Linked DNA regions of Coturnix japonica. The protein of the gene in region 3 binds, or shares a complex with, the protein of the main gene of each other region. Links are inferred from orthologs where the notes say so. Each region holds a gene or a part of one and is shown on either strand. Other genes may lie near its edges. The genes, in order: UNC79, FAM155A, NALCN and UNC80.

What was found.
Region 1: the proteins of NALCN (region 3) and UNC79 are in contact, whole or in part, in a cryo-EM structure (PDB 7SX3), measured with the Homo sapiens proteins. The link is inferred for Coturnix japonica from reciprocal best matches to the Homo sapiens genes NALCN and UNC79. Residues at the interface, in NP_001337678.1 of Homo sapiens: Gln349, Met350, Phe351, His352, Glu353, Gly358, Trp359, Gln360, Leu361, Phe712, Ser713, Ile714, Arg717; in NP_001333147.1 of Homo sapiens: Cys861, Gln862, Ile865, Glu968, Pro969, Asp970, Phe1020, Gln1022, Pro2088, Asp2089, Ala2092, Pro2093, Leu2095, Leu2096, Met2099, Leu2139, Pro2141, Asn2142, Gly2143, Ile2144, Gln2147, Leu2148, Ser2151.
Region 2: the proteins of NALCN (region 3) and FAM155A are in contact, whole or in part, in a cryo-EM structure (PDB 7CM3), measured with the Homo sapiens proteins. The link is inferred for Coturnix japonica from reciprocal best matches to the Homo sapiens genes NALCN and NALF1. Residues at the interface, in NP_001337678.1 of Homo sapiens: Cys207, Val209, Asn220, Leu222, Ala223, Ile224, Pro225, Thr227, Tyr237, Pro240, Phe243, Tyr406, Glu409, Phe909, Ala1044, Lys1045, Asn1047, Pro1049, Arg1054, Ile1060, Arg1062, Ile1063, Asn1064, Val1065, Ser1066, Lys1069, Lys1080, Lys1081, Gly1083, Phe1084; in NP_001073865.1 of Homo sapiens: Lys278, Glu281, Phe282, Val285, His287, Lys288, Tyr289, Leu290, Gln291, Glu294, Tyr295, Ser296, Val297, Lys298, Ser299, Tyr308, Trp311, Leu312, Gln315, Leu335, Gln338, Thr339, Cys341, Phe343, Ile344, Leu345, Pro346, Asp347, Asn348, Asp349.
Region 4: the proteins of NALCN (region 3) and UNC80 are in contact, whole or in part, in a cryo-EM structure (PDB 7SX3), measured with the Homo sapiens proteins. The link is inferred for Coturnix japonica from reciprocal best matches to the Homo sapiens genes NALCN and UNC80. Residues at the interface, in NP_001337678.1 of Homo sapiens: Asn639, Met643, Val644, Ile646, Lys648, Leu649, Pro650, Phe653, Val655, Pro656, Lys657, Ile658, Arg659, Glu660, Phe662, Met663, Lys664, Gln665, Phe666, Ile667, Arg669, Val711, Ser713, Arg715, Ala716, Arg717, Leu719, Lys722, Glu723, Ala725; in NP_115893.1 of Homo sapiens: Lys1979, Asn2004, Glu2005, Cys2006, Asp2007, Leu2128, Arg2129, Leu2130, Pro2131, Pro2134, Arg2135, Ile2138, Asp2139, Phe2142, Phe2145, Ser2146, Glu2179, Asp2184, Glu2185, Met2187, Leu2188, Asn2191, Asn2194, Ile2198, Leu2199, Glu2202, Ser2226, Leu2227, Ser2228, Gln2231.

What each region holds. Positions count from the first base shown.
Region 1 is NC_029520.1:40,928,605-40,935,890, reverse strand, and holds the start of UNC79 (protein unc-79 homolog), read right to left. Parts: upstream 4,244-7,286; 5' UTR 4,121-4,243; coding exon 4,099-4,120; intron 3,876-4,098; exon of another isoform or gene 3,679-3,875; intron 1-3,678. UniProt on the Homo sapiens protein: Auxiliary subunit of the NALCN sodium channel complex, a voltage-gated ion channel responsible for the resting Na(+) permeability that controls neuronal excitability.
Region 2 is NC_029516.1:126,347,407-126,354,654, reverse strand, and holds the start of FAM155A (transmembrane protein FAM155A), read right to left. Parts: upstream 4,708-7,248; 5' UTR 4,571-4,707; coding exon 3,761-4,570; intron 1-3,760. UniProt on the Homo sapiens protein: Auxillary component of the NALCN sodium channel complex, a channel that regulates the resting membrane potential and controls neuronal excitability.
Region 3 is NC_029516.1:129,118,482-129,125,850, forward strand, and holds the start of NALCN (sodium leak channel non-selective protein), read left to right. Parts: upstream 1-2,861; 5' UTR 2,862-3,331; intron 3,332-3,358; exon of another isoform or gene 3,359-3,377; intron 3,378-7,369. UniProt on the Homo sapiens protein: Voltage-gated ion channel responsible for the resting Na(+) permeability that controls neuronal excitability. NALCN channel functions as a multi-protein complex, which consists at least of NALCN, NALF1, UNC79 and UNC80.
Region 4 is NC_029522.1:6,625,726-6,631,797, reverse strand, and holds part of UNC80 (protein unc-80 homolog), read right to left. Parts: intron 4,129-6,072; coding exon 4,047-4,128; intron 3,963-4,046; coding exon 3,851-3,962; intron 2,698-3,850; coding exon 2,486-2,697; intron 1,668-2,485; coding exon 1,404-1,667; 3' UTR 1-1,403. UniProt on the Homo sapiens protein: Auxiliary subunit of the NALCN sodium channel complex, a voltage-gated ion channel responsible for the resting Na(+) permeability that controls neuronal excitability.

The DNA.
Region 1 (7,286 bases), on a different chromosome or scaffold from region 3:
TCACCCTCACTGTAAAGAAGTTCTTCCGCACATTTGTGCGGAACTTCCTATGCTGTAGTTTCATCCCATTACCCCTAGTCCTGTCCCCATGCACTACTGAAAAGAGACCAGACTCACCACTATGGCTCCCACACCTCAGGTATTTATAAACCTGGATCAAGTCCCCTCTCAGCCTTCTTTTCTCAAGGCTAAACAGACCCAGTTCCCTAAGTCTCTCCTCATAGGGGAGATGCTCCAGGCCCTTCACCATCTTAGTGGCCCTCCACTGGACTCTTTCCAAGAGATCCCTGTCTTTTTTGTACTGGGGAGCCCAGAACTGGACACAGTATTCCAGATGAGGCCTCACCAGGGCAGAGTAGAGAGAGAGAGAGAGAGAGAGAGAGTATGTAATGTAAAAACTGTGCATATCTAATAGATGATACAGACACCTCTAAGAGAAAATAAATTGAACATTACCATGCATGAGTGCTAAGGGGAAGACAAGAAAGGCAGCAAGTCTGCTCCTGCTTCATATTGCCTTTCTGCTAGCAAATGGGGGAGGGGGGATAATTGAAAAAGAGCAGTTATCTGTGTCTTCAAAAAATCTCAGGATTCATTTATAATAAATGAGACACTGGATAACAGGAGGTTTATGTGAGGTGACATTTCTATAGCCAAAAGGAGAAATACAAGCTAATACAGAGAGCTGGTATTATTTACTTAATGTTACAAATATACGCTATGCAATGAACTACAGATACTAAAAGAGCTGTGCTGTTTCTTTAAGTGTCTTAAGAAATCTGATCAAGCAGATGAGAGCATTTCAAAGAGTAGAAGAAGCTCTACACCTTCTTTGAGATTGGTTGTTTTAGAAATAGCGCTCTTAGTATCTAACCAAGCTCCATGTTCAGTATTGGAAGAAAAATGATCCACTATAGCTACCGAGTTGCGCACTGCCTATGTGAGGCCAGCCTCATGCAGGTATAATCAAGGATGGTCTGGGCACTTTTTGCTCTATTCAGTCTGACCATCTCTACAGAGGAACCCAGTCTGCCAACCCTCAATTGCCCAAACCATAGAATTCTCAGAGTTGGAAGGGACCTTTAAAGGTCCAGCTCCCCAGCAATGAACAGGGACATCCACATGTAGAACAAGTTGTGTAGAGCATGGTCCAGCCTGACCTTGAATGTGGCTGCCATGGCTTTCAAGTTACAGTAGGGGAGATCCAGGCTGGACATTAGGAGGTATTACTTCTCAGAAAGGGTGGTCAGGCACTGGAATGGACTGACCAGGGAGGTGGTGGAGTCATCAACCCTGGGGGCGTTCAAGGAAAGACTGGATGTTGTGTTGAGGGACACGGTTTAGTGGGAGCTATTGGTAATAGGTGAACGGTTGGACTGGATGATCTTTTAGGTCTTTTCCAACCTTGGTGATTCAATGATTCTATGATTCAGATATCTGTAAATGAAATTAATTAATGAAATGCTGAAAATTATGGAACATCTTCCGACAATTACTTCCTTTCAGTAGCGTGTATATATATTTTTTCTATTAATCAGAGCAGTCTTGCAATTATATAAGCTGAAATAACAGAACACTTTATTTAGATTTTCTAAATACTTAACATAGCTCTAGACTCAAGGTTTTGGCCTCACCTCACAGAGCTGCCCAGAACGCTGACCATTTCAGTACAGCATCCCAGAACACTGACACCCTTCTAAAAGAAAGCCCCAGAGCAAAGGTTTATAAGCCCTGAAGATAGTGAAATGTGTGAATTACCTGAGCGTCCAGAGATACAATTCAAAATATGATGTCACTCTGTGGAAATACTTTCTTTGCCCCTCTCATGGGGTCATCATATAAAACAAATTCAAAGTAAAAATGAAAAGGAAATATTTCATGGTATTTTGCTGGGTATCTCTTTATTATCTGCACCAACCTAACTAAACTTTCTAGCTTCCTCATAAGCACTTACTGAATTGAGTGAAACTATTAAGAGCTTTTAAATATGGTTTTGGTTGTTCCACTACCCTGGAAAACATTGTGAGAATCAGGCTTTCCCAGGACATTACTTACCACAACTAAATGCCAGCTAGTGTAACTCAAGGTGAAAAGGAACCAACCCTTTTTTGATACAAAAGCATACCTTGGGCATGCTGTGGTGGTGGGTCAAGTGATGAAACCCACTGTCAGTATCCCCTCGTATGAGATATGAAATGCAAGCGGTCACAAAAATAGAAGCTTCTCAAGATGATTTCCCAGATTGCCACCATTTTACCTGCTTTCCATACAACCTGCCAAAGTGCTGAGGGGGTGGCCATGCATTCATGTTTAGACCAGTGCCTTGTTGCTCTTTCCAACTGGTCACTCCGTTTCCACATTTGTTGGGTTTTTTTTTCCCGTTGTTTCTTGGTAAATTCAGATTTAGTATAACTCCTCCTTGAGACATTCTGGTTCTCACTTGTCTGTCCATGAGGGCAGAAGCAACAGCAGCCACAGTTGGAGTCTGAAGGTTTGCCTGATAATTACGCATGCACATCAATATAATCCTTGTCAGACACCATCACCATTGGTCAAAAATTGCAGGTGAGTGGATCTTTAAGTTATGTAGAGAAAAAGACATTTGGTAATGCCATAATAACTAAACAGGGGAGCAGCCTTTGTAAACAAGATACATCCAGTAAGTCGGAATGCACAGGATATGTCTGCTAACTGAACAGAGTGCTCTGATGAGCCATGAAAAAGTGTCAGGAAGAGGAAATATCTGCAAACTGGAGCCCAAGTAAATCTTTAAAGAAAAATAACATGGACACAGTAGAGCAGTCTCCCAAATTGTACAAGGGATGAAAAGGAAAGACAGACAAGGAAAAAAATATATATATGGAATAGAAGCTCAAGCAGAGAAGACCAAAAGAATTAGGAATGGGGAAACTGAGGAGGCAAAACAGAAAAGAGGGAAAATGCTGAAGACAGTGGCAGGATAAGGAACAGCAGACATTCTTCTACAGGCCAGTGTGAAGGACAGTGTATGAGAAGGAAACTTGGGTGGGAGGAAGGCAGAAAGAACAGAGCAGCATGGATCTGAGCACTGCACACTCAAGGCCTGAGGTATGGTCAGAACATTGCCTTTCTATACACAAGGCCAGAAACACAGCCCCACAGTAATAAATTTGCATCCACATAATATTTTAATAGGGGCATCATCCATTACTGTGAATAAGTGGCAAACCCTAAAGGAAAAGTTACAAGTAATCACTTCCCTAGAGCAGTTCAGCACAGGCTTATCAGAACAAGGACTCTTGCCAGTGACCTGAGAAGCCAACAGGATGCAGAGGACAGCAATGAACCTCTGAGCCATTAGATCGCATCGCGTAGTTATGGCAGTCATCAATCCAGCCTGCTGCTCTAACACCGGCAGAGAAGGTAGCCTTGATGCGGGTGACCATCCCGACAGCGCTGCTGTTTTTCCCTCCGCCTCTCGCAGCGCTCCGGCAGAACAGCAGCTGCCGTCAGCATCCACACACTCGCGGCCCAGCTACAGCCGTCCCAGCCACCATGTCACCTGGCAGCTCCCCGCACACAGCCATCATGGTGGCTGGCACATCACCGGCTGCCACGAGAAGCTGCGGGCAGAGCTGACGGCAGCCGAGGGTCCTGCAGGGCGTGGAGGAACGCGGCAAGGCAGCGATGCCGCCGTACCTTCAGCCCAAAGGTGCGTGCCACCAGCAAAAGCGGCACCGTGCTTCCATCACACAGCGACGGCAGCATCACGGCAGCAAAGCCAGGAGCACCAACCGGGCGGCACGGCGCCGGGATCGATGCCGGAGAGGCCCGATGCCCGCTCCATCCCTTCCACCCCAGCGCCCAGCGAGGACGGACGCGTTGCGTCCCCAGGAAGGCCGCCTCGCCATCAGTACCACCGCAACGGCGGAGGCAGAAAGAGCCAGAAAGGAGGCGGCCCCCCTCCATAGACCACCCCTCCCGCTGCCCGTTGCCGGGATGCCCTACAACGCGGGGTGAGCGCTGCCCCGCCGGGATGCCCCGCAGCGAGAAGACAGCCCCCGGGACCCCGCTCCCATCGGACTGCACCCGGCCGCGCCGCCCGGCCCCGCCACTCACACTGCTCCGCCTTGGTGGACATGCTGCCGGCGGGGCGGCCCCAAGCGCCCACCTCAGCAGCGGGGACGGCGCAACGCCCCGTCTCGGAGCGACACCACGCTGGGGATGGAGCCGCTGCCGCAAGGATGCGGGCCGGGAGCGGCGGCGGCGGGCGGAGACGGGGCGGGAACGGAGAGAGCTCTTAAAGGGAACCTGCCTGGAGCCGCCTCGCTGACCGGCTCCGGGGGGCGGCACCGAGGTCCCGGAGGCCCCAAGAAAGTGGTGGTGCTCCCCAGTGGGGCTCTGGGGGTGTTTGGGGGCTGCCTTGGGGCCACAGGCAGCAGCTGCTCATCATCAGAGTGTCATAGAGCCATTAAGGTCAGAAAGACCACCAAGATCATTTAGCCCAACCATCACATCGATCCATGCTGTGACCACTCTAAACCATGTCCCTCAGTACCACATCTGTACCTTTCTTGAACTCCATCACCTCCCTGGGCAGCCTGTGCTGGTACCTTACCATTCTTTCAGAGAAGAAAGGCTTCTCTGTATCCAGCCTGACCCTCCCCAGGCGCAACCTAATGCCTCTCACCTTATCTCTGTTGCCTGGGAGAAGAGTCTGACCCCCACATGCTAAATAAACGAGCTGCACTGCAGACACATCTGTATTTTCTAACCAAATCCTATTCCACAGTCCCTCCAGATTCACAGTGCATTTTTTCTTCTTATTTCTTATTAGCAATGCCTGTAGGTTCCTGCCATGGGAAAATATGGAATGGCTTGGGTTGGAAGGGACCTTAAAGATCATCCAATTCCAACCCCTGCTGCGGGCAGGGACATCATAACATCATAATTAAAGTAGCACTTACAGAAGTGGAGAAGGAAACAAATACATATTTATCATTTTCCAGGAAAATAAAAATAATAATTAAATAAATGAGGGTATTTGAAATAATAATTACCATTTTTCAGGGTGAGAAATACACACAATTCAGTGGGCACACAAATTCATGGATGTGTGTTCATCCAACTCCAGTTTAAACAGCTGAGGGTGGTAAACAGATCAAGAACCCTGCAGTCCCTGTCTGTATCCAGTAGTTTGGCTTCAGAAGATTGCTTGGCACAGGGGACCCGTGTTTTGCAGGAGTCTGCAGGTACCATAAGGCAGGCGTCTGGATCCTGACAAGTAATACTGTTTCAATATAATCTCCCTAAAGGGCTGAGCTGGATGAGGTGGCGTACAGCAGCCAAAGAGAGCAGTGCCAGGTAGCTGGAGGAGTATAGGTGCATGTTCTGGTTCATCATGCAAGCAGTGCATCCCGGTTCCTGCTGCTCAGATTGGAGGCTGCTATGACTACCTGTGGCTGCTATGGATATATAGTGGAACTGGATGGCAACAGAAGGACGTGAGTTAATTGGGAAAGGATGGCTCTGGTTGCTTGAGTGGTACTTTAAGAAAGCAAAAAGTTCTGTTCTTCTCCCACATGTGCTTTGCTCTTTCCTCCTGCTGAGCTCACTGCAAGATCTGTATATTGTTACCTGGGCAGCAGAGGTGAGGCAGAGATTGCTTACGCTTCACTCTTTCATTAGGCACTGACGTGTGATATCAGATCCTGCTGAAGTCAATGAGAGTTTTTCCATTTATTTATTGTAATGAAGTGCCTGAGGAGGTCACATGGAACTGCAAGCCTCCCTTCCCCAAGTCTTAACCTCGCCAAACAAAACATCAGTGAGGAAAATGGAGGCTTTCAGAATATAGGCTTTCAGGCCTCACAGAAATAGGCTGTTGAAGTCAGACTTCATCTTTATCTTGAATTTCTGTCTGTTGTTGCAACAGATCATGCTAAAGTGTTCTACCACTCATTACAGAACAATAGGGATCTCTTCACTGAGAGGAACTGAGCTCCCATGGGTATCCCTTAAAATATACCGAGTGTTCACATACCAGTGATGAGCCTCCTGAAACATTCAGCTTGATAAAGCAGGAGTACACTGAGAAAATATGAATTCCATTCTTCATATAAAATACTTCTTTGACTTAAATGCCTGAAAATTGGAGGCTTGTCTGCATTTACTGAGCAAGACCCTATACAGTCCAGCATGTATCTCGGGTATATGAGAACAGGTTTATTGCTCATAAGTCCTTGTACATGCCTAAGCCATGCCTAAGCTCCGTAGTGTATTTGGTTTTCCAGGATTGTTTGCCCTTTATTTTTCCAAGGACCAAGGTAAGGGTGTATAGCCCTACGATTTCCTAGATACTTGTGTTTGCCCTTCTTGAATTAGGAGTGACATTTGCTTTCTTCCACTTCCACTTCCACTTCTCAGGGCTCTCCCCCAGTTCCCTTGTACTTTTAAAGACAATCAAAAGCAGTCTCACAATGACAGCGGCCACTCTCAGCACTTGGGCATGCATTCCTTTAGTCCTCATGGTCTTATGTATGTCTGACTTGTTTAAATCTTGTCTGACTTGTTCCCTAATCTGATTCCCTCCATCTTTTGAGTGAGTCCTTTTTTCTAGAATTTCTGGCCTCACGTCCTTGGATTCCCTATCAGAAAAGGCTAAAGTGAAGAAGATACTGAGTATTTAAGCCTTTTTCACATCCTTCATCATCAGATCCCCTACCCCATTTTTCTTAGCCTTCTTTTTACCAAATCCCTCTGACTGTCCTTTATTTTCCCTCCCCAGATTCAGCTCCTGGTAATCTCTACTTTTCCTAACTCCATCCATCTCTTCACACTCAGACATTCCTGCACACTGTTTCTCTATTCCTTACAGGTCCTATTCCTTACCCCTGCTCTCACCTCTTGTACACTTCCTTTTTACATTTGGCTTTTGTCAGAAACACGTCTTTCATCCACACAAGCCTCCACTGACCTACGTTTGACTTCACTTTAGGAGGGACTGTTTTTGAGCTTGAAGGAGGTAATTGCTGAAAATCAGCCATCTGGATGTCTGGATATTAAGGTGACACAGTATATTTGAGAGCTACAAAACACACCTACCTCTTACAGAGGAAATAGGTATAATCCACTAACCTAGGAGGCTTAATCTTCATGTTTCCTTCTACTGTGCCTTTTGTAGGGTAAGGCAGGTAAGATTTGGGATGGATCCCCATCCATTAATTACTGCTTCTGTGGATTTTGCTGGTTTTGTGACTTTGTTTTCCATAACAGCGTGAATTGCAATGGCAATGTAATTCAGGAAA
Region 2 (7,248 bases), about 2.8 Mb from region 3:
CTGTATTAATTGTCTGAATGCAGTCCTGTGTCACACTGCATGTAAAAATGGTACTCTGGAAACTTTAATTACAACAATAGAGATTGTCAATAACAATTTCTGTAAGCATAACCATTGTTTTTAAACGCTCAAATGCAAAATTTCATAAATTAAAAAAAAATAAATAAATACAAAGCAAGAAAAGAGAAATGTAGATTCAGATTCTCCATTACCTTATTACTTAATGATTCAATAAATTAAAAGCAATTTATGTATATCACCTGGTTGGATATGTAATGCATTCATACAGGCGTCCTACTTATATTTACTGTTTTGTCGTTAGTGATTATCAGAACAAGAAAAAACATACGTAAAGACGTCAGACTTCAATAATATTTTTACAGAGTAAATGGAAGATTAATTTGCAGAGAGATAACACTAACATCCAGAATTTCCAAACAATGTACAGTGTCTGCTGACATTCTTAATTATATGAGTTGCATATGCATATTCACTGTAACAATGAATGTAACTATCAGTAATAATAGCTTTCATAATACTCTCAGATTACAAATTCTCAGCATTTTCTGTCTTTTTCTTTTTTTTAAGGTAATGCACCTCAATGAGAAGTTTAATAAGATGACCTTGACTACAGAAAGGCATTTATTTTAAAAGAATATATCTATCTATTAAAACAAAATTAAACAAAAAACACCATGTTAGATAGCTGGATATGAACCGATAACCTGAATAACTCCTGTCTGAAAATAACTTTCTGTATTACAAAACAGTTTGTTTAAAATCCTCTTCAGGGACTAGGAGACATGTAGCGGAACATAGTATTTTAAGTTTTTTCTTTCGGTTTTGGATAAAGGAATGATAATATGGAGCTGAAGTTTTAAAAAGTTACATCAACATTATTTTTATATGAACAGTTTTCTATAACCAAAATTACATAATTGAATGACATAACTTGCTGGACTATTTACTTTGAGAATTGACGTTGCTGAAGGTGAGGGGAGATGGGGAAGGGGGAAGTAATACTCGATTAAAAGTTTCAGGTGACTGGTATCCAGTATAAATTTTATTGATTTTGTCATCAGGTATAACTAGACACCTGGATGAAAAGCTCTCTTCTGTGAATGGAGCAGCTCTCCTACAATACTAATGATCTCTTAAATACAAATACATTATTTAACAAGCATTTTATTTTACTAAGCCAGTGCTTACATATACGATAACAGAAAAAAGTCAGTAGTTTTAGATCTTTGTTTAATGGAAGATAAAAAGCAGCTCACCACATAAGCCAATGACGTGTACCTCAAGTGCATAGTTAGATGTCAAGCTATTTACTACGCATGAATACTGCTTCTTATGCTAGAATGTATCTAGGTCTCCAGTGCTCTAAAAATTAATATTTAGGTACAGAGAAAGAAAAGAAGGAGAAATAAATAAATAGATAAATAAAGAAGGAGGAACTATGTCCTGATTGTATTAGGTGCAATATGTACAGAACACCAGTAAGTACAGTGAAACATCGCAATGCCCATTTTGTTTTGCCAATCACCACAAGTTTCCAGCTTCACCCGCACACACTTCAGTGCAGATCACGTACAATCACATCAAAGCACGTGGCTAGCAGAGCACTGGGCCCGCTAAACACTCAACTTCATCAGCGACCAGAGTGAACCAAAAAGGACCAGCAGCACCAACTCCGGGCGCACGTGGCACAGAGCGGCTCCCCGCAGTCCGGCTCGACCCTACAGCACCAAGGACAGCGGCCTCCCCGCGCCCGGCCCGGGTCTCTCAAGTCTACAAAACACGAAGTTTCACCCTTTTCTCATTGCTATTATTTGTAACATTATTTTTCCCGTCCGAAGTATCCCATGTTTCTTAAAACAGATTGGTTGGCCAGATTCTCAGGACACAGTTCCATCAATTGACTAGTCCAGCATTCAGAACTAATATCTGTCATTGTTATGTTTGTTTAGTTTGCCTGCTTATCTCATGAAAGCACCTTATTTCAACAGCTTCTTGCCCATCCTTAGAAAAGCATTTATGCTCATTCAGTCCCCAAAATTGAATTAGTAATATAGTGTATATTTGTTACTGTGTGCATTTTAAGCGCCTTTTATATCATGATATATTGTAGATCAAAAGCACAGTTTGTGGTAAAGTTCAGCCTGATCAAATAGCAATACAGAAGAGAATCACTTCGAACCTGAAGATTACTTGGCAGCCAAGAGCAGTAGGTCAATTTCTAGGTTAAGGAGTTACTGAAATGGCAAAGATGTCCTCACAGCAGTAGACATCTATTTATATTTGACACGCTTTTTTATTTATCCAGTTTATGCTTTTTTACTTAAGTGATTCACTTCAGAAATATATTTACACCACCTGTAACTGAGTGCACAAAGCATACATGACTCCAGAAACAATGGAGTCAAAATTACTAATGAATGCTTCACTTTTGTCAGTTTTAATAGGGTGGAGAAGGTAACTTTCTCGCTTTACCCAATGAGACAACAGAATATTTCAGCTTTTGGGGGGATTTTTTTTTTTTTTTTTTTTTTTTTGGATTGATTTTCAGACAAATACATGTGTAAAGTACACTAACTGAACAGGGAATAGGATGCTTTGGAAATATGCTGTCATCATTAAGTGATTTCAGAAGGCCCTGCTGAAGTTATAGAGCACTGTACTATTGCTAGGCCTTCTGCTCAGCACAGGGATTTGTACACACTGTTGTGCTCCACTGCTAACGCAGGATTGGTTCAGACTGGTTAATGTAGTGCTTCAGTAGCTGAGTTAATCCAGTACAGGGTAGAAACCATTCACCTGGCCTGGCACTCAATATGTGTATGAACAGGGAAAATACTATGTGGATAATTATTTAAGGTGCAAAAGATAACACTTTTTTTTTCTCATCTCCTCCTCTCTTGAGAATTAGGCCAACTCATTTTGTGCAAACGTACAGAGAAGACAACAACTCCAAAGAAACAAAGTGGGACCCTGCCTTCCAGCGGAGCAAACCAAAAGCCTCTTCAGACATCTGAAAACTCACTTATGGCCCCATAACCAACAACCGAGTCCTGAAGAGATTCAATCACCAGACAAGTATCACCACCACTTCCCAGCCAAGGATCACAACATTCCCCGCGCACATCCATCTCCTTCTCAAGCACTTCCCTCTCCATAGACGCGGACAAGCACCTGGAGGCAGGGTCCCGTTCCCGCTCCACCGACCGCGGGGCCAAACGCGGACAGGAATCGACCCGCAGCCCCCAGCCGCAGAGGCCGGTCCTCCCGTCCCTCGGTTTAACGCAGAGCCCAGCCATCCCGCGCCCCTCACCGACCCTGGCCCCGACTGCGGTCTTGGGCCCCGCTCATTGGCATGCAGACCCCGTCGCTGCCTGCCGCCAAGCCGCATCCCAGCCTGCTGCTATCCGGCAGCCGAGACGGAGCCAATCGCATATTCATGAGGAAGGGGAAATCCAGCTCTGCACTCACAGAGGACCCAGAATCACACTCTTATTTTTTTAACATTCCCCCTTTGCCTGCCTCCCTTTCAGGAGCGCTCACCCGGGGGCTCTGCGCAGCGGTCCCGGATGCTCCCACCCGCGGATAGCGGCCGCCGACGCCAGGTGCACCCCGAGCATCCCCAACGCGGAGCGCCCACACAGCACAGCGCAACGCGCGGAGAGACGGCGCGACTCGCGAAGACGAAAGGCACCCCGGCAGCCCACCGCCGAGGGACAGGAAACACAGCAGGGGCTCCTACCTTACAATCCTCAGGACACGATTTCACCGAGTACTCATCCGACTGTAAATACTTCTGGAGCATAACCTCAAACTCTTCGTATTTCTCCTGAGCGTGCTGGTCGTAGCGCTGGTAAGCCTGGACGCACTGGCTGCAGGAGCCTCCCCCCCTCAGCACCACATCCAGACTGCAGTTCAAAGTGTCCGGATTGGACAACCCGGCGAACAACTCCCAAAGTGTGTAGGAATTACAAAAGGAAAGGTAAAAATCCGCCAGTTCCCAGCCGGGCGCCGGGCTCTGCCCCGCTCCCCGCTGCCGCCCCGAGTCCCCCCGCCTCCGGCACACCGCCTCGGCGTCCCCCACGCTGAAGCAGCGCCCGGACGAGCGGCCCGGCGGGGGGCACGTCTCCGGGGGAGCGGCGGTGGAGTTCCCCAGGAAGGCAGCCTCGCCGTGCCGGGGCTCGCTGTCGCTGCCGCCGCCGCCGCCGCCGCCGTTGCCGGGGGAGGGCGGGAGGGAGGGCTCGGGGGGGGTGAGGAGCCGGGGCGCGGGGGGCGACGGTTCCCCCATGCCCGGAGGCAGCTCCGGCTCCGCGGGCTCCGGCTTGTCAGGCGGCGGCTGTTCCTTCTCTCCGGTGCCCGTGAATTTGGCCTCGGCGCAGAACCACAAGTGATCAGAGAGCAGGACCGTGAAAAACAAGAGCGATGCCAGGGACAGTCGCCATTTCTGAGCCCTCTCTGAATCCGCGAAGGGTTTTTCGTTCTCCCGGGATGCGAACCAGATTTTTAAGCCGTCGTCATACTGCCGACTGCACATCCAAGCACCCCTGGTCATATTTTGGGAACGCACAGCCCTGGCCGACTCCACCGTGAGGGCTCCTTTGCCGGTGTCACCACAATATGCATTGACTTAAAAGATTGGGGGGATTTTCTTGCCTGTCTTCCTCCTCTCGCTCGCTCGCTCCCTCTTCCACTCTCCCCCTCTCTCTCTTTCTCCCTCTTCTTTCTTCTTCTTTCTCTTCCTCTGAGATAGTGTCGGGGTTGGCCAGTGGCTCAGCCTTGGTCTCGCTACACGAAGCAGCCCCAGTCCATCCACCGCGGAGTGCCGCGGAGAAAGCGAGAGCGGTAACGCAGAGAGAGGAGAGGGAGAGGAGATGGTGGTGGTGGTGGTGGTAGTTGGTGGTGGCGGGGCTGCGCGACTGGTCCTTTCCCCTCTCACCCAGGCATGGTCAGAGAGCAGCTCTCCATCTCCCTCCCGAGAAAAGCCCGTTGCCCCCGGACAGCCGCATGCCGCGTCCCCCGCTGCCGACGGACGGCTCCGGGAGGGCTTCTCGCCTCCTCTTCCTCCCCGCCGCCGCCGCCGCCGCTCCTCTTCCTCAGCCCCGAGCCGCGGCACAGATGCTGCACCGCTGTCTCCGTCTCCGCTTTCTCCTCTCCCCCCTCCTCTCTAACTGGAGAGACGCTGCTGCAGGGCTCCCGGAGCGCTGCCGAGGATGCTGAAGAGGAGGAGGAGGAAGAGGAAGAGGAGGAGGAGGCTGCCGGGGCCGCCGCCGCCGCTGGTGACAATGGGCTGCGGCTGCCTCCGCTGCTGCCGCCGGGAGCGATGTCCCCGGGCGCACGGGGCGGAACTGCCTGGCTGGGGGGCCCCGATGGCCACAGGCATCTTGGGCCCTTGGGCTAAGTTGCCGCCATCTTCGTCCTGGAGAAACACTTTTTTGGGGGGAGCTCTGCCTTTTGCGTCATCTCCTCCCGCGCCGAGATCTCTCTATCCTGGCGCATTGGCAGCAGCAGCAAGTCTGCCTCCTCCTGCCTGAGGAGGAGGAGGAGGAGGAGGAGGTGGGAGAGGCACTGGGGACCACATGGCCCCTCCAAAGGGCCTCCTCAGTGCAACTCCTTCCACTCGCCTCCCTGCTTCCCCTTGCTGAAGGCACTGCTCAGATCCACACTCCAGCCCTCTCTCCTACAGGGTCTCCTTCTCCTGTGTCCCCAAATACCATGTCCGTTCAGGGTGACGGCTGCTGTCGTGTCTGTCCTGGTCACAGCAAATCACAAATGGCACGTGAAACCCCAGGGGCTGGATCCCATCAGGTTTTGGCCCCACAGTAAAATGCTTGGAAATAGCTTTCTTTCCTTCTTGTCGGTAAGCAGGGAAATGCCCATAAACCCCAAGCCATTCCCACAAGAGAAGTTTTTCAGAACCCTAGTCCAGCACGCTTGAGCTGAGTAAGTGCTACCAGTCTTTGTGTTTCACCTTTTGGATGTTGCTTCCTGGAGAGAGAGACAAAGAATAAGGTTAACTGTCTTATCTGGGTGATAAAAGCCAGATAGCTGATGATCTCATACCCACAGTAGAGATTCCACTATCTTCTGGACCCTACCAGCAGAATCGCTTGCTTTAATGAACATACTGCATGGTCGCTCCTGCAATTACCTTTATCTTGCTTGCTGTGACACTTAAATATAACAGCAACAGATGCATTTGGATCCCACACAAGACAAGAAAAGAGACTGAATGTTATCAGATGAAGACCTCTACTAGCCTAATGCTACAAGGTCTTACTCTCAAGAAATCACATATGCTTCTGGTCAGGGCACAACTAAGATGTATTTTTTTGTTTCACCATTGGATTGGAGAAAGTCGGAGAGGACGTGTCCATCCTCATTCCTGGAGGTTTCTCCATCTGGAGGGAAAAGACCATTTGGAACTGATTATGATCCCTGAATGAGGTGCATGCTGTACCCCCCAGAGGTAACTTTCACCATTATATGGTTAAAGAAAGCTTTATCCTTTACAAACTTGGCCATCGTCTATAATGTTATATCATTTCTAATAGCCGATGGCTCTCTACTTCTGTGAGATTAAATCTGAAACTAGACCAAATCAGAAGAGGAAAAAACTTGAACCTTTTCTAGCTGCAGCTGTCATTAACAGAGGGGTGAGTTTACCACAGAATGTGCTGGAATTTCCATTGCTTTGATCAATAAAGTGAGGTTGGATGTCTTTCAGAAGGAAATGGTATACCTCAAACAGAAGATGCGGACCCAAGGGAGGAGTTGCTGAGTGATGCTATATGCCCTGTGTTATGCTGGGGGTCAAGGCACATTATCATAATGGTCTCATTTGGCCTTAAAAGATCTATAAGTCAAATTCTACACTGAGCAGAAGTTAACTGTGGATTTTATTTTGATACACTTTTTAAAGAGACAGAAAAAAAATGCTGGTATTGTAAGAAAAAGTCTACAGTACTCAATCAGAATGCAGTTTGCAATTCTTGGTCAATCAGCTCACACAATCTGCTAATGGTACATTAATAATTTTGATCTTGGAGCTTTGATTCCGATGATTTGACATACTGAGCCCTGTAGTGTAACTGCATTTTTGTATTGCCTTCCATTCTGGGAGATGACCATGATTGAGATTTTAATCAGAACAGAGTAAGTCATCTAACTTGCAGTAACATTTATTTAATTATATTTTGCTTCTTTGCTTATACATTTTTCAGTGGAAAAGAG
Region 3 (7,369 bases):
AATGATATTTTATGACCTTTTTTTAAAGGCTCAACCATCATTCCAAAATGAATATTTCATGAATTCTTTTACCCATTACAGAATAACTAAAATCAGATCAAGCAGTGAGTTCTTTTCTAAGTGGTTAATCAAATTCCAACAATAGCATTTCCATTAAGCTCAGCTCTATGGGATGTTTTACAATTTTTTTTTTCCATTTTCTTCAACTCCTTAATAGACATATATGGATGGTGAGAACAAGAGAGGTATAAATAAAGCTCAAAAACATTCAGAATATAAGTCCATAATTTCATTATTAATAATGTGCATCTTTCTATTCTCAGCTACACAAAATGCATATAATGCTATGGAAACATGTATTTATATGTACATTAACAAAGAAGATAGTAGCAATTGAGTTCTGTAATACAGAAGATTTGGTGCCTAGAATAAGCGCTTTCCCTTCTTAACTGTTGACCTTTCGCACTGAAAATGGGAAAGATGAGAGGTTCATTATTTGTCTGCTTTGGTACAGTCTAGAAATCCACAACTAATTTTTATCTATATAGTTGCTTGAGTTAATTTCATTCCAAAATAAATAAATAAATAAATAAAATAAAATCAGCCTAACAAACAAAAACACAAGCCTTGAGATCTATCCAATTTCTGCTGCAAAACACACACAACCAAGTTTTGCATTCACCCATTTTCTTCAGGACCTACTGAGTGAGCAGGACTAAAAGCATGATTTGTAATCACCTTTTTTGATGGAAGTTCTTACTGCGTTCAAAGATCATGTTACAGAAAGTAAAGTAATAGAAAAGGGTGAGAATTCTGCTCTTGAATTCTTACTATCAGGAATCATTTATAGTTTGTTTTTATTTGAAAGTTTCCTCATGGCCAGTTTCAATCACACGATGAAGCTTGGGGAGTTATTAAAATTTGTTTTTCTATTCTAGGTTTAGAGATAGGAAATGTAAATTGTTATGGAAATACATCTTTCCTTTTGTCTTATTTTACATTATAAAGTTCCACTTACCACCCAAATTCAGTCCTTGTCTGTCTGTTTTTGGCTTGCTCAATGGGATTTTTCTAGTACAGAATAAAACCAAACTATAACGTTAAACGTAAAACAACTGATACTTGTTGAAAAATTATATCAGCCATTGTATAAATATATGTTTTCCACTTTATATGCATATACATGGTATGTACAACTTCAGTTCTAAAGTATTCATGATTGCTTTGCCTGTGGCAATTATAAAAGTAAATTTGTGATGAAATTCCAAATCATGAAATAGCTTTTCCTGGCAAATAATAGATCTCAGTTACCTCCACAGCTCTTCACAACTCTAATGATAGGACTAGGAGAAATGGTTCCAAAGTAAATGAAGGGAGATTTAGACTGGATATAAGGAAAAAGTTTTTTTACAGTAGGGGAATTGAAAATTGGAACAGGTTGCTAAGAGTTGTGATGGATGCTTGACTCATGGACACATTTAAGGTCAGGCTGGAGGGGCTTCTGAGCAGCCTTTTCTACCACTACATGTCCCTGTTCATTGCTGAAGGGGTTGGATTAATTGACCTTTAAGGATCCCTTCCAACTCAAACAATTCTACGATTCTATAAATGAAAGACACTACCCTTGCTCACAGGAAGCACACCAATGCATCAAGGGTTAAATCATTTTGCCAGCAGTATTACCACCTGGTGCAGGTCATGTTCATGGACAGACAGTGGAACAGAATCCAGCCCTGTACTGAAGTACTGGTCTGACTCTGTTAGTAGCCTGCAGTTCACAGAAGCTGCACAGGGGTAGGGAGGGCAAAATCTAACCATTACCAATATCATAGGAGGTAAGAGCAGAAGTGTGAAATAAGTTAAGGAAAATGTGAATACACTAGAGCTCAGGTTCATTTGCAGGACAACCAAGATGGTTCAGCAGATTGGCCAGACCAGATGGCCTCCTGAGATCCCAACTAAACCAAATTGTTCTATCACATATCAGTTTTCACTAGCTACTATATCCACTGAAAAGCAGTTGTACAAAATCACACCGGCTTTGCATATGCTGGTTTCTTTTGCTTAGATGTAACTTTAAAGTTTTGCTCTGCAACTGTCAATTCTCATTCAAGAGATGCTATCCTCAACAGCATAACACTGCCTAAAAACTTAGTCCGACTACTAGAATATAACTGAGGAGGAAAATGATTAAAAATATTAAGAGTACTACTTGTAAACACATTTATTTCTAAACTGATTTGCTTACTTTTTTCCTCTTCATTTTATCTTTTTTTTCTGTATGAGCTGGTCATTTACTATTAGAGGCACTAGTTCTGCAAACACTGTAATTAGGTACTCAGATTCACTGGAATTGCTAATGCTGTTAACACAGAACACAAGCGCTGACAGAACTGCATCCACAAACCTCAGGCCAGTTCCCTGACAGTCTTATTAGCTTTTTGTTGTAACAGTCACATAGATACAATCTAACAGAACTTAATGCAATTTATGCCCTATGTTTCCCTTCTGTTTTCTGCAGTATTTTGCTAAGGGTTTCGTTTTTCAAATCCTATTCCACGTCTTTAAGTCTATCACAGCAACTGCATTTGCAGGATTATCTCTTTGATTTTGCTAATTTTACAGGCTCAGAAGGCTACCAACTGGAATCATTTAAAGCGTGATTCATTGAAATTCACTTTTACTATTATTATTATTGTTTTTCTCACAAGAAGATAAAAATACAGGCCGGAACGTGGTGACTTCAGTGACAGGGTTTTCCAAGTATTTCTTTAAGGTATTCCTTTACAACAGGTGATATCAGGCTCTCCATTCATTCACTCGTAGCTGTTTTAGGCCTCAGTGAACCGACACATTCACTCCCAAGAGCACCCTACATGCTCAGTCTGATGCTGGGGGCCGAGGAGAGGCGCTGGCAGTGACAGATGTGCCAACCCCAGGATGCGCTCCCAGGGCTGCGTTCTGTTTTCTCGCTGCGTGATGGCTCTGTTTGAAGTCATCGGCGGCCTCAGCTCACCCTGCGGCTCCCAAACCACTTTACTCCGAGCCTCATAAACCCGGAGGATACAGAACCTGGGGTGGATTTTATTTATTTATTTGGCCTGGCTGTGCGTATGTTGCGCTGGGTTGGTTTGGTCACCTCCTCGGCCGCTCCTCGGGGCCCGCAGGCCGCCCCACCCGCCGCCGTTGCCGAGAGACCGAGGGCGGCCGCCCGGCTCCGCTCCGCTCCGCTCCCCCCCTCTCCGCCGCCGAAACACCGCTAAGCATCTCACACACCCGCGGGGGTCGGGGCCGGCCCCTCCCGAGCGCGCCATGAAGGCGGATGCTGGCGGTAGGTTGGAGGCATCGGGCGCGGCTCTCAGCGCGGTGCTGGCTCGGTACGGTGTCCCCCGGCTCCTCCCCGCTCCATCCCCGGTCCCCCGCGCAACCAGCGCCGCTGCCATCCGCCGCGCTTCCCAGGCCGCCGGCGGAACGAGCGATGAGAGGCCCGGCAGAGGCTCCGGGTATCGCTGGGGCCGCGTCCTGCCGAGCCCCGCGGTGGGAGGGGGCCAGCGCCAGGGAGGAGTGGGAGGGCGGCTGCTCGCTGTCGGCCTGCGGGGCAACGAATGTATCCGGGGCCTGGGTGCCGGCACTGTGCAGGCCGGGTGCGTGGTTCGCGTTGAGCCCGGCATGGGGCCCGCTCTGCTGGGCTTCGTCAGCCGCCGGGTGCGGGGTGGATGGAGAGAGGCTGAGCTGAAGTGCTCCTTCCTGCAGTCAGTGGTCGGTGTTTGGGGTTGGTCCAGTGGAGAAAGGCATCTTTGGGGTTTGGTGTTCGCATCTTTATGTTTTAGCACTCCTGATGTCAAAAGCACCATTCTAGGAAGAGCTGGGATTTCCGATGGTCTTTAGTTTCTCATCAGCCTTTAAGTTAGCTGTGCTTTCTTCAGTTGTAGTGTTACATTCTGAGTCTCTCAACAAGAAAATATTCACAGTGACATAATGCTAACTAAATGCTCTTTAGGTCTTTGTTTTTTGATGTGACATCTCAACTTCCCATTTCATTTTCCCTCTATTTATTTCCTTCTACAGCCACCATGTCCCTCCAACCCCCTAAGCAACCAAAAAAGGAAGTAATACATATTAACTATGAACTATTTTTTTTCTTTCTGTGTAAATCACAAAATTATAAAACATCTGTGGATGGATTAAAAAAACATCTTCGAGCTGGTCTACTGGGCTTCTTGAAGGCTGCTGCAAGTCCATAAGGGTAGCCCTAGGAGCATTTAGGAACAGCTGAGGGAATACTTTAATTGCTTCAACTAGGTGCATTATTTTTAAAATGAAATTTTAAAGCCATGGCAATCAACAGCATTGAAGTATAGACTCATGGTCATATTGTTTGTCATATATTTTATTTCATTCTGAAGCTTGGTCTACCAAAGCTCATTCACATTTGAGATACACCTGAGAATACCAGTTTCTAACATCCAAACTGTTTTGACTTCCTTCCTTTTGGACACTGACGTCACCATAAGCACCATGTGGAGCTGTGTGGTATTCATTCCAACCCATGTCTTGAACCGTGTAGGTTTTCAGGCCTTAAATCCTTCTTCCAAAGAAAGAAATGCTAAGCTTTGATATAGGTGTTGGGCTATAGGACCAAACTCAGGAAGAAGTGGGAAGTCAATGAATTTTCAGGATGAGAATGCCTTCTTGGATATTTATCATGATGAGTTAGAACTGTTAGTGGCTTCTGGAATTTGGGGTTCCCCTCAATGTTATTGAGGAATTCAGGCAGTTGAAAACAAGATTTTTTTATGTGTTTATGAGTTAAACAGAGTCAATGTATTCATGAAATCAACCTATTTTTGCTGTTTTACCAATGCAGTATTTCCACGGTTTGAGAATGACATGGTTTTCCCATAGGTATTGAGCTTGAAATCTTTTTGGAAGTAAAGAGCAAAAAAATCAGACTAATATGAACATTATGGGTTGAAGGGCTATGGTTTCAAACTGTTTTGTTTCTACTGATTTATCTATTTTCCCTTCCTTTATTTTCTCGGATCTATCTGTGATATACTCATCTTGCATCCCTTTTTCCCCTCTGTGAGGATCCTGAAGCAGTTGAAAAAGATGCCCAAAGAAACTGAGCAGTCTCCATCCTTGGAGGTTTTCAGGACTGTACAAATATGGGCTGACATCACATTTGACCACACTTGAGCAGAAGATTAGTCTAGAGACACCGTGATTCCTTCCAACCTGATTTAGCCTGTGATGTTGTGGTTTCTTCTTTCCGTTTAATATATATATATATATATATATATATATATATATATATATATATTTTTTTTTTCCCCCAAAATAAAACCTTTACAACTTTGCCCTTTTATTCCTGGAGCACGACATTCAGTCATTGTGTTTATGAAGATGGCAATAGGTTTCCAAAGTTTGTGGCTGCAACATGCAAGAACTCTATTGCAGCAATGAGATCAAGTATCACAGGTCAGTTTGTTTGTCATAAAGAAAATATAAGAAGAGGGAAGAGTCTTGATAGTATTTTAAGAATTTCACACTTAAAATACATGGGAGGTGGCTGTTTTTCTGGCAGATCCTAAAACAACGGGAAGAATTTGGAAAGGGAAATTCATTCAGATTTTTTAAATAATTACTTTAGTAAGAATTGTAACAGTGCTGAAGGAATATAATCACTACTTATTATATTTTAATGTATTTCAATTTAAATAGTGAAAAGATGTGTACACAAAGTTGTAGGCTCAATAGAGCATAATTAGTGGTACAACAAAATCCCAGCAACATTAAAATAATCACTTAAGCCAGCGTGCTGCCAGCCTTCTGCCTTCAGAGAAACTCCTTTCCACCCCTTCATCATACTGGGAAGGGTGCCCTCAGGCCTTCTTTTAAAATCCTGCAAAACATATCTCCTGCAGCATTCATAGGAGATTATAACATGTGGGCTGCTTTAAAAAGGATGGGTTGCTCCCTGAATCCTCTAAAAGAATAACTTGCTCCCTGTCCCCTTGCTTTCATACATATAATGTGATTTCTATCTAGAGAAGAACAGACCACAAAAGCAAATCCCAGAACATAGCTCTTTAATTTTCTTTTTTTCTAGTATGACTCTTGACAGCTCATTGCTGCATTTCTTCATCAACTTTGTCCTTTAAGGGGTTTTTGTATAGACTAGACTGCAGTAGACTAATCTTGGGACAGCAAGTGATAGGTGGGCGGTCTGTACTTGAAGTGAGCATTTGAAATAATCCAGTTGTTAAATCACACTGTGGATCCATAGAGGGAATATACTGCCATCAGTATAATCTCCACATGTAACTTCTGTGCCACCAGTGGTCATCATTACAACCACAGCATCTGAAATATCATCTTCAGTTTTGTTTTTATTGGTTTCTTAATTGAAAAATGTGAAAACACAACATTTTTAATTAAATTATGATGGCCATTGTCTAGGTGGATACATGTAGGTTCTCCAGAATTGTGTATTCTAATGGTCAGAAGGTTTCCTGTGAAAGGAATTTGTCACATGACGTGGCATAATGGTGATGGTAGGCTTACATCTTGGTCGTGTGAGGACTGCATTTATATGCAGTTCGATATTTGATTCTGCCTGCTGAGTGGTCCAAATCATTTTGGCTATGTCTGGAATTAAGAACTTAAATTTAAGAACTAAGTATGGCATGAACATTGTCCTTAGCCAGAAACAACACAGGAAAATGTCAGGAGGAAAGTACTAAAGCCTGGATGCCTTTTTTTTTTCCAAGCTAAGCTCTCCGGGTGCAACACTGGCAGCCTCAAGCCAATGTTAAACTTTCCTTGATTGTTGAACCCCAGAGAGAGAGTTTTGGTCTGGAGTTCTGTTAGTGGGTTCAAACTGTCACTTCTTTCTTACCAAATGATGTGAAATGAAAGGGGTTTTTCAGATATTTCCTTCACTTTCCTTCACTTTTTTTTAATTTTTTTTCAATCTTTTAACAGTCAACTGTCTGCTGCATGTAAAATAATGAGGAGATTTTTTGGTACAGTTAATCACATGGAATAATAATACCACACAAAGATAAACATCATGAACACAAACTTTTCTTTGAAACCAGTTATGTGTTAATAACATCCGGAGTGTAATGTGTCATATGATTGTATCCTTTGGAATTCCATCTTTACCCTTTTAAACTGAAGTGTATCTGTGCTGCCATATATGTAATTGTCTCACTTCAAATGCTCTGGTACATGAAAACAAACCTTGAAATATCTTGTACTTTCAACTGTGCCCAATAGCAGTCATGGAGGGAAAAGCTAGTGGAGGAAGAGGGAAAATTTACTAGGAGGGAAAGATGTCTATGGACAGAAGGAAAATGTCTAT
Region 4 (6,072 bases), on a different chromosome or scaffold from region 3:
CCTTAGGGGCCAAACTGGTCATGAGCACACTCTGCAGACTCGCAGTGATCTGAAGCATTTCTCTCTGCACAGTAACGCCACCAACCACAGCTCCCAGCCCTTCTCACAGACACTGGGAAAGGCTGTGTGGGATCCCAAAGCACACGGTGACCTTGGGCCCTGCTTACGATTTCATGGCTTGATTCACAGCTGGATGCAGTTTGCCCCCAAGCAGCTGATGGCTACATTCACATTTCCCAGTAATTCCATAGTGCTGCAGTGCAGCCCTTCACTGAGCTGGGACTTCAGCTGATTCCCCATCGGGGATCACCTCAGTCATATAAATGTAGCACATACACATCTCACACTTGCAGCCGTCAACATTACACACACGTAATGGAACCTCTAAATAGAATCTCAGCATGCCAAAAATAGATTCTTTCATCAAGTTTCTGCACTGCAATATCCATCCTCTCTCTGCAAAGTACATATATATTTGTATGTTTGCATCTATAAGGAACACGAAAATACCATATATAAATATTTACTCTAAATCCCTATAGTTAAGTACATAAGACAGCATCAGTAGAGCAGCTGCAAGGTACCAGAAGGTCCACGCATTCCAGATGCGGTTTCCCAGGTGGTTTTTTAGTTCTAAGCCGTGCATCACCCAGTACACGAAAGCAGCAAAGCATGGACTATGTCTTATCATCTGCAGACCACTCACGCCCTGTCCATCTCTCTGTGCACAGCACGTGCATTCCTTTCTGTGGTATGAGCCGCATTTAGTTTAACAGAGCAAATATTTTTGTAGCACGAGGGCAGCATCTTACAGAGCAGAACGACACCAACAGATACAAGCAAAGTCAACTCAAGTCTGCAGTGCCAAAAACATGAAAAAGGAAACACAAGCGTCTAACTGCTCCACAGTGCTCATCATTGCTCTGCAAGTAAGAAACAATGGTTCCAGGCTTGTAAAAGTCGAGCTTTAGATTAGTACTCTTTGTCAGTGCTTTCACTGTTGGTACCAAGATGTCAAAGCCTGGCATCCAGCCGCTGCATAACCAGCCTTCTAGTCAACACGGCTACAAAAACACACCTCCCAAGAGGTCTCTCTTTCCTTGCTCAGTACCTTACCCAGAGAGGCTGCCTATCACAGCACACGGCTGCCACATCAGGCCTTTGTGGACCACGCACACTTGCCCACACACCCGTACCCTGAGAATGTTGTACAAATTCTCTGCTCCTACAAGTCTCGCCCTGGATACGAATAGATTCCTCATACCAGTCTATAGCAACAGGCTGTTAGCTCTATTCTGCTTTTGGATAATAAAGTGCTCTTAATTAGTTACTAGTTACCGGGGAACTCAAAGGAGAAGGTACAGCTTTCTCTTCCTCCTCCCACTACCGTACCTCCCCAAGAGTTAAACATGAGATTCATCCAGGTCGACGTCCGTCTCCCCGAGCTCCACGTGTGTGAAGCTGAAGTGAGTGGCCAGCAAGGGGTTTTCCATCCCATTGTCCTCACTGATGTGAAGCACCGTGTCTCCGTGCTGCAGCAAGCTGGTGGTCTCGAGGCCAGCGTAGTCCTCGGTGTCGGAGAGCTGTGCGGGCGGCGTGCCTTGTGCTGTGGCTGGCCGGGACTCCACATTCTCCTCTTTCTCCTTCTCAGCAGAAAGCACCTCGCTCTGCAGGAGAGGAGAGGCAGTGGTTAGGCTCAGAGGAACAGGGAGGGGGCAGGAAAAAACAGCAAGGGAACACTTGTGAAATATTTACTTATTCTGAACTACCATTTTGCCATTAAGGGGCCAGGCAATCACAGATTTTAAGTCCCTAAAGTTCTACCCTTGCAGTTTTTGCTGGTGAGTCAAATCCGTAGCAATAACCAGAAAAGCTGTTTGCTTTCAGTTTTTAACTCTTTGCCATTTCACTGTTCAGTGTATTTTCAACAAGAGCTTCTTATACTTGTTCATGGCAAAGGCCATACAGCCAAAAGACGTGAGGTGTCTGGGTGTGTAAAAGATCTCAGTGTCACTGTGCAGTCTCAGTGCGTAGAAGCAGTGATCACCACTATCTCTGCACTGTGCTCAGCGATGTCCAACACAGAAAGATGCTGGACAAGCAGCTAAGCAGCTCCTTTTGAAACATGGTGCTGTTAACGTTACTCCCCTCAGTTTCTGCAGGAATCCTTCCTGAAGGACTCACTGCTCATAGAATGAGGAGCAAAGACCAGTTGACAAAACCTCAAGCAGGTCCACAAGGACTTGTGGGTCTGATGGGAAGATTAAAAGAGAAGATACAGGGATCTGCAAACTAAGAATCATTGCAAAGGTAGAGAAGTGAGGGCTTGATACAATTCAGCCTACAAACCACAGTCTTGACCCATCAGCAGGTTTTCATCATGCTGCTGTAGTACAGCTGTATCTACTTGCCCTGCAACTTAAGTTGCTGAGGCTGAGATGAAGCAGCAGGCAAACACACACAATAAAACTGTTGGACATGCTACCTGGCCAGTGGTCTGGCTATGGAGATCAGCTACGACGACAGCAGGTGAGGATGTCAGCACAGTTTTACTTGGAGCTTCCTGCTTGCTGCTCTCCTGGGGGCTGCTGCGGCTGCAGCCCTGCAGCTGGGCAGCTGAAGCTGGGGACTTGGCTGGGGATGGCGGTGCGGCCTCAGGCTGGGCTTCAGTGAAAGTCACCGAACGCTTCTGATCCGCTGAGAGGTGCAAAGCACAGAAAAATGAATTATTAAAATACTTGAATTGAGGAAGGAAAACAGAATGAAAGCAGACAGCATCCCTAGTGGTTTTACAAGCAAGACAGGGCTCCTGATTCATTCCATCTTTATAAGGTGTCTAAATAGCAACCAATCTAAAAGCCTTCTATTCATAGTCTTCCTCTGAAGCCAGAGCAAGAGTCTTGGTTCTTCTGAAGACTACTGAGCCTACCTGTCTTTGTCATGGATCAAGGAGATAATGCCACCCAAAACATATTTCCATCCCTGAATTTCATGTATTGGATTCTCATGTAAGGGAAAACTAAGATGTAAATATTGAAGGGAGTTTCCTGAGGCTTTGAAGGAAACTTGAGAAAAGAAAGAGGGGAGCTGACTGCCTCTTATTCCTTTTACTAACCGAGTCCACTGCCTGGACTAAAACTTAACCGTGAAACTAACAGCCTTGCTCTCACCCTTCATTATTCCTGTAGAAGTTTTACATTCCAAACATCTCCAGCAGCTCTGTTAGCCCAGCAGTCCTGGCTGAGCAATTAGAAACCCAGGAAGTTCTCAAGAAAACTTTGCTCTTCCAGATGTTTCCTCCAAAGTTAATTGCTCACTTCAGATGTGCAGAATGCAACTACCTGCTCTGCTTGACAGTGCTGACTCAGATTCATTTTCATATACAGCCCTTAAAACTCTCAACTGCAAAGCTACAGAGTGGGAAATTTCTTTCCTTCTTCCACTCACTAGCACCTTCAAAACAGGCACATCTGGAAGTTTTGGACAAGGAATGGAGGACACCTGTACCCTAACTTCTCCACAGCTTTAAGAAACATCATTGGCTGTCTGTGTCCAGCTTCACCTTGCTGGCCTTTGGAGAAACCATTCAACCATTGCTGACAGGATATCCACTTGCTAGAGAAAAGAACATACATGGTGATGCTTCACCGTAATCACATTTTCCAGCCCTTACCAACTGAAACTCAACACAAACTAGTTAACGAGGGCACCGCTTATTTCCACAAAGCAGCTGAAAACAGCTTACACACCCTTCAAATATACTAACTTTTCCTCTGATGTAGAGCAACAACCAAGTACTGTCTGCTTTAGGGTACAAAGTGCTGGTTCTGTACATGCAGTACTGCCCTACCGCTTGGTTTTGGTTTGGGTTGGATGCTCCGCCGAGTGGTTGAAAGTCGAGCTCCATGGCGGCTACGAGGTTCAGTCTGAGTTTTCTGACGGGACAGCAGCGGTCGTCGAAGCTAGAAATGGGAAGAAAGAGCCACGTTTCAGAAATCATTTCAGAACAGACACAGACTGGGAACAACCAAGGCCTGTTCACTCACCTGCCGTAGGCCTCTCTTCCGCCCCAGGGGCTGCTGCAGAAGGAGGTTCTGCTGCCCTGGCTCACTCTGTACGCTTGCCACCCTGTTGGATGTCGACAGCGTTAGGTCAGGCACAGAAGCAACCTGTATAACTAGCAGGAGTCCTGGCAGTTGTGACTAAAATAAATAGATAGATCAACCACTAATGGCACAGTCACTTCAAAGAGCACATACTGTCTTTGAAGGATGGTGGGAACGTGTCTGTTGGGTTGTGGCTTCCAAGGCTTAGGAGAGGGTGGGAGGTGGAGTCATGGCATTCAGGACTTGGCCACACACAGGTAGCATCCAACTATAAATAACTACAAATTTCAGTTTTCAGTCATTGATTGATGCATCCCACTGAGCAACACTCACTTCTCTTCACCTTTTGCCACACGGGCTTCTTCAACAAAAGGCAAGAATATCAGCTTCCTAGCTCTAAAACCTTCTTGTTTGCTTTTCATTTACTTCATGGACAATGTTGTAAGAGCTATTTTACTTTTTTTTCCTCCCGAATGCACTCCACAGCCTCATCACAATTTTGTCATCTGGTTTTAATTTCAATTCAACAAACAAAAAACAAACACAAAGTGACAAAAGATCTATTCACATAATGGATGCATGAGTTATGTGAACAAGGCCCCACACTCAACACTCGCAGCCTTGAATCTCTGCAGCTAACAGATGAAAAATACAAGTGAACATAAAATTCATATATACATGAAAGCGCACATATTAAGTTTTAATATCTTGGCACAAAACAATCTTTAGCAATAGAACAGACTTGGCTACGTACCATCCCATTCTACCATTCAACTGATCATTACATCTACTTCCTACAGAAGCAGCACCCTCCCCTCATTTTTATCAAGTACTGTATTCCTCCCAACAGTTAAAAGTTGGTCATTGAGCAGGCAGCGGTCACAAAATGTAATAGCTGAATGCACTGTGTCTGAAAGACTTATGGTTACAATAGCAACTAACATTTAGATGGACTTCCTTTAAATCTGGCAGCTACTTATTTGGGAGAGACTGGAATCCACTGAGCCACAAGTCCTATTTAAGCAACCTCCAGCTATAGCTGGTGTGCACTGTAGTAGATTAGGTATTACAATCCACTTCGCTTTTGGCCTGCCTTAACCTAAAGAAAAACAACCTTTTCTCTAGATGTTTTCCTTGGATCTCCCTGGAGGAGCTCAGTACCACCAACAGAGTGAAATTTTACTATCTGACCTAACGTGAGCAGAGGAAGAAGGCAAACCTAAGGTCTGATGTGGTCAGACGAGACATGGAGGATGTCTGCAGAGAGGCTTAAGAAGTTCTGTCTCCTAAACAGCTCCCTCTTCCCTTTGGCAGAAGTTACTGCTCTTCCTAAGTTTGGTAGAACAGAACATGTGAGCTTCCTGGCCGCGTCAGGTCAAAGTCTGGTTAACTGAGCTAAAAGTCCTCTTCCTTGCTCCCTTATCAGTTTAAACCCAAGCCAGACTTTGCACTAAACTGTATGCGTTTCCAGAAGCTTTGTGGTGAGACAGCTGGCAACTTCAGGAGAAAGACACTACTACCTTCAGCCCCTGACGCTGTTTCTCTTTACATTGTCTGACCACATCATCTCAGTCCTAGCCATGCCTGTGGCAATCTCAGCGCAGCTGTGGTGGTTTGGAAAGAAGGAAAAGATTCTGCAAGCTCAAAGCCAGAACAAACAAAGATAAATTTGAATCCTTTTCTCCCTCAGACAGCTCCTCCAAATGAGATCACCAGCCTCCGGAACATATTTTCCAGCTTTTACATACGGAATTGACATGATTTACATACAAAGCATCCTAAACGTCATGCAAAAGCCTGTGTAATTGCCAGTGTGGGGTTTAAATAAGAATTGGCTAGAGAAGGCCTCGAAAGAAAACTGTTCAATTGAACTAGATTCTGAGAACACTGATAAAATGTCTGATGAAGGAGCAGCAGCTCTTAAGTTACATGAGTGAGGAGACATACCTGTCTGTAGCAGGAAGAC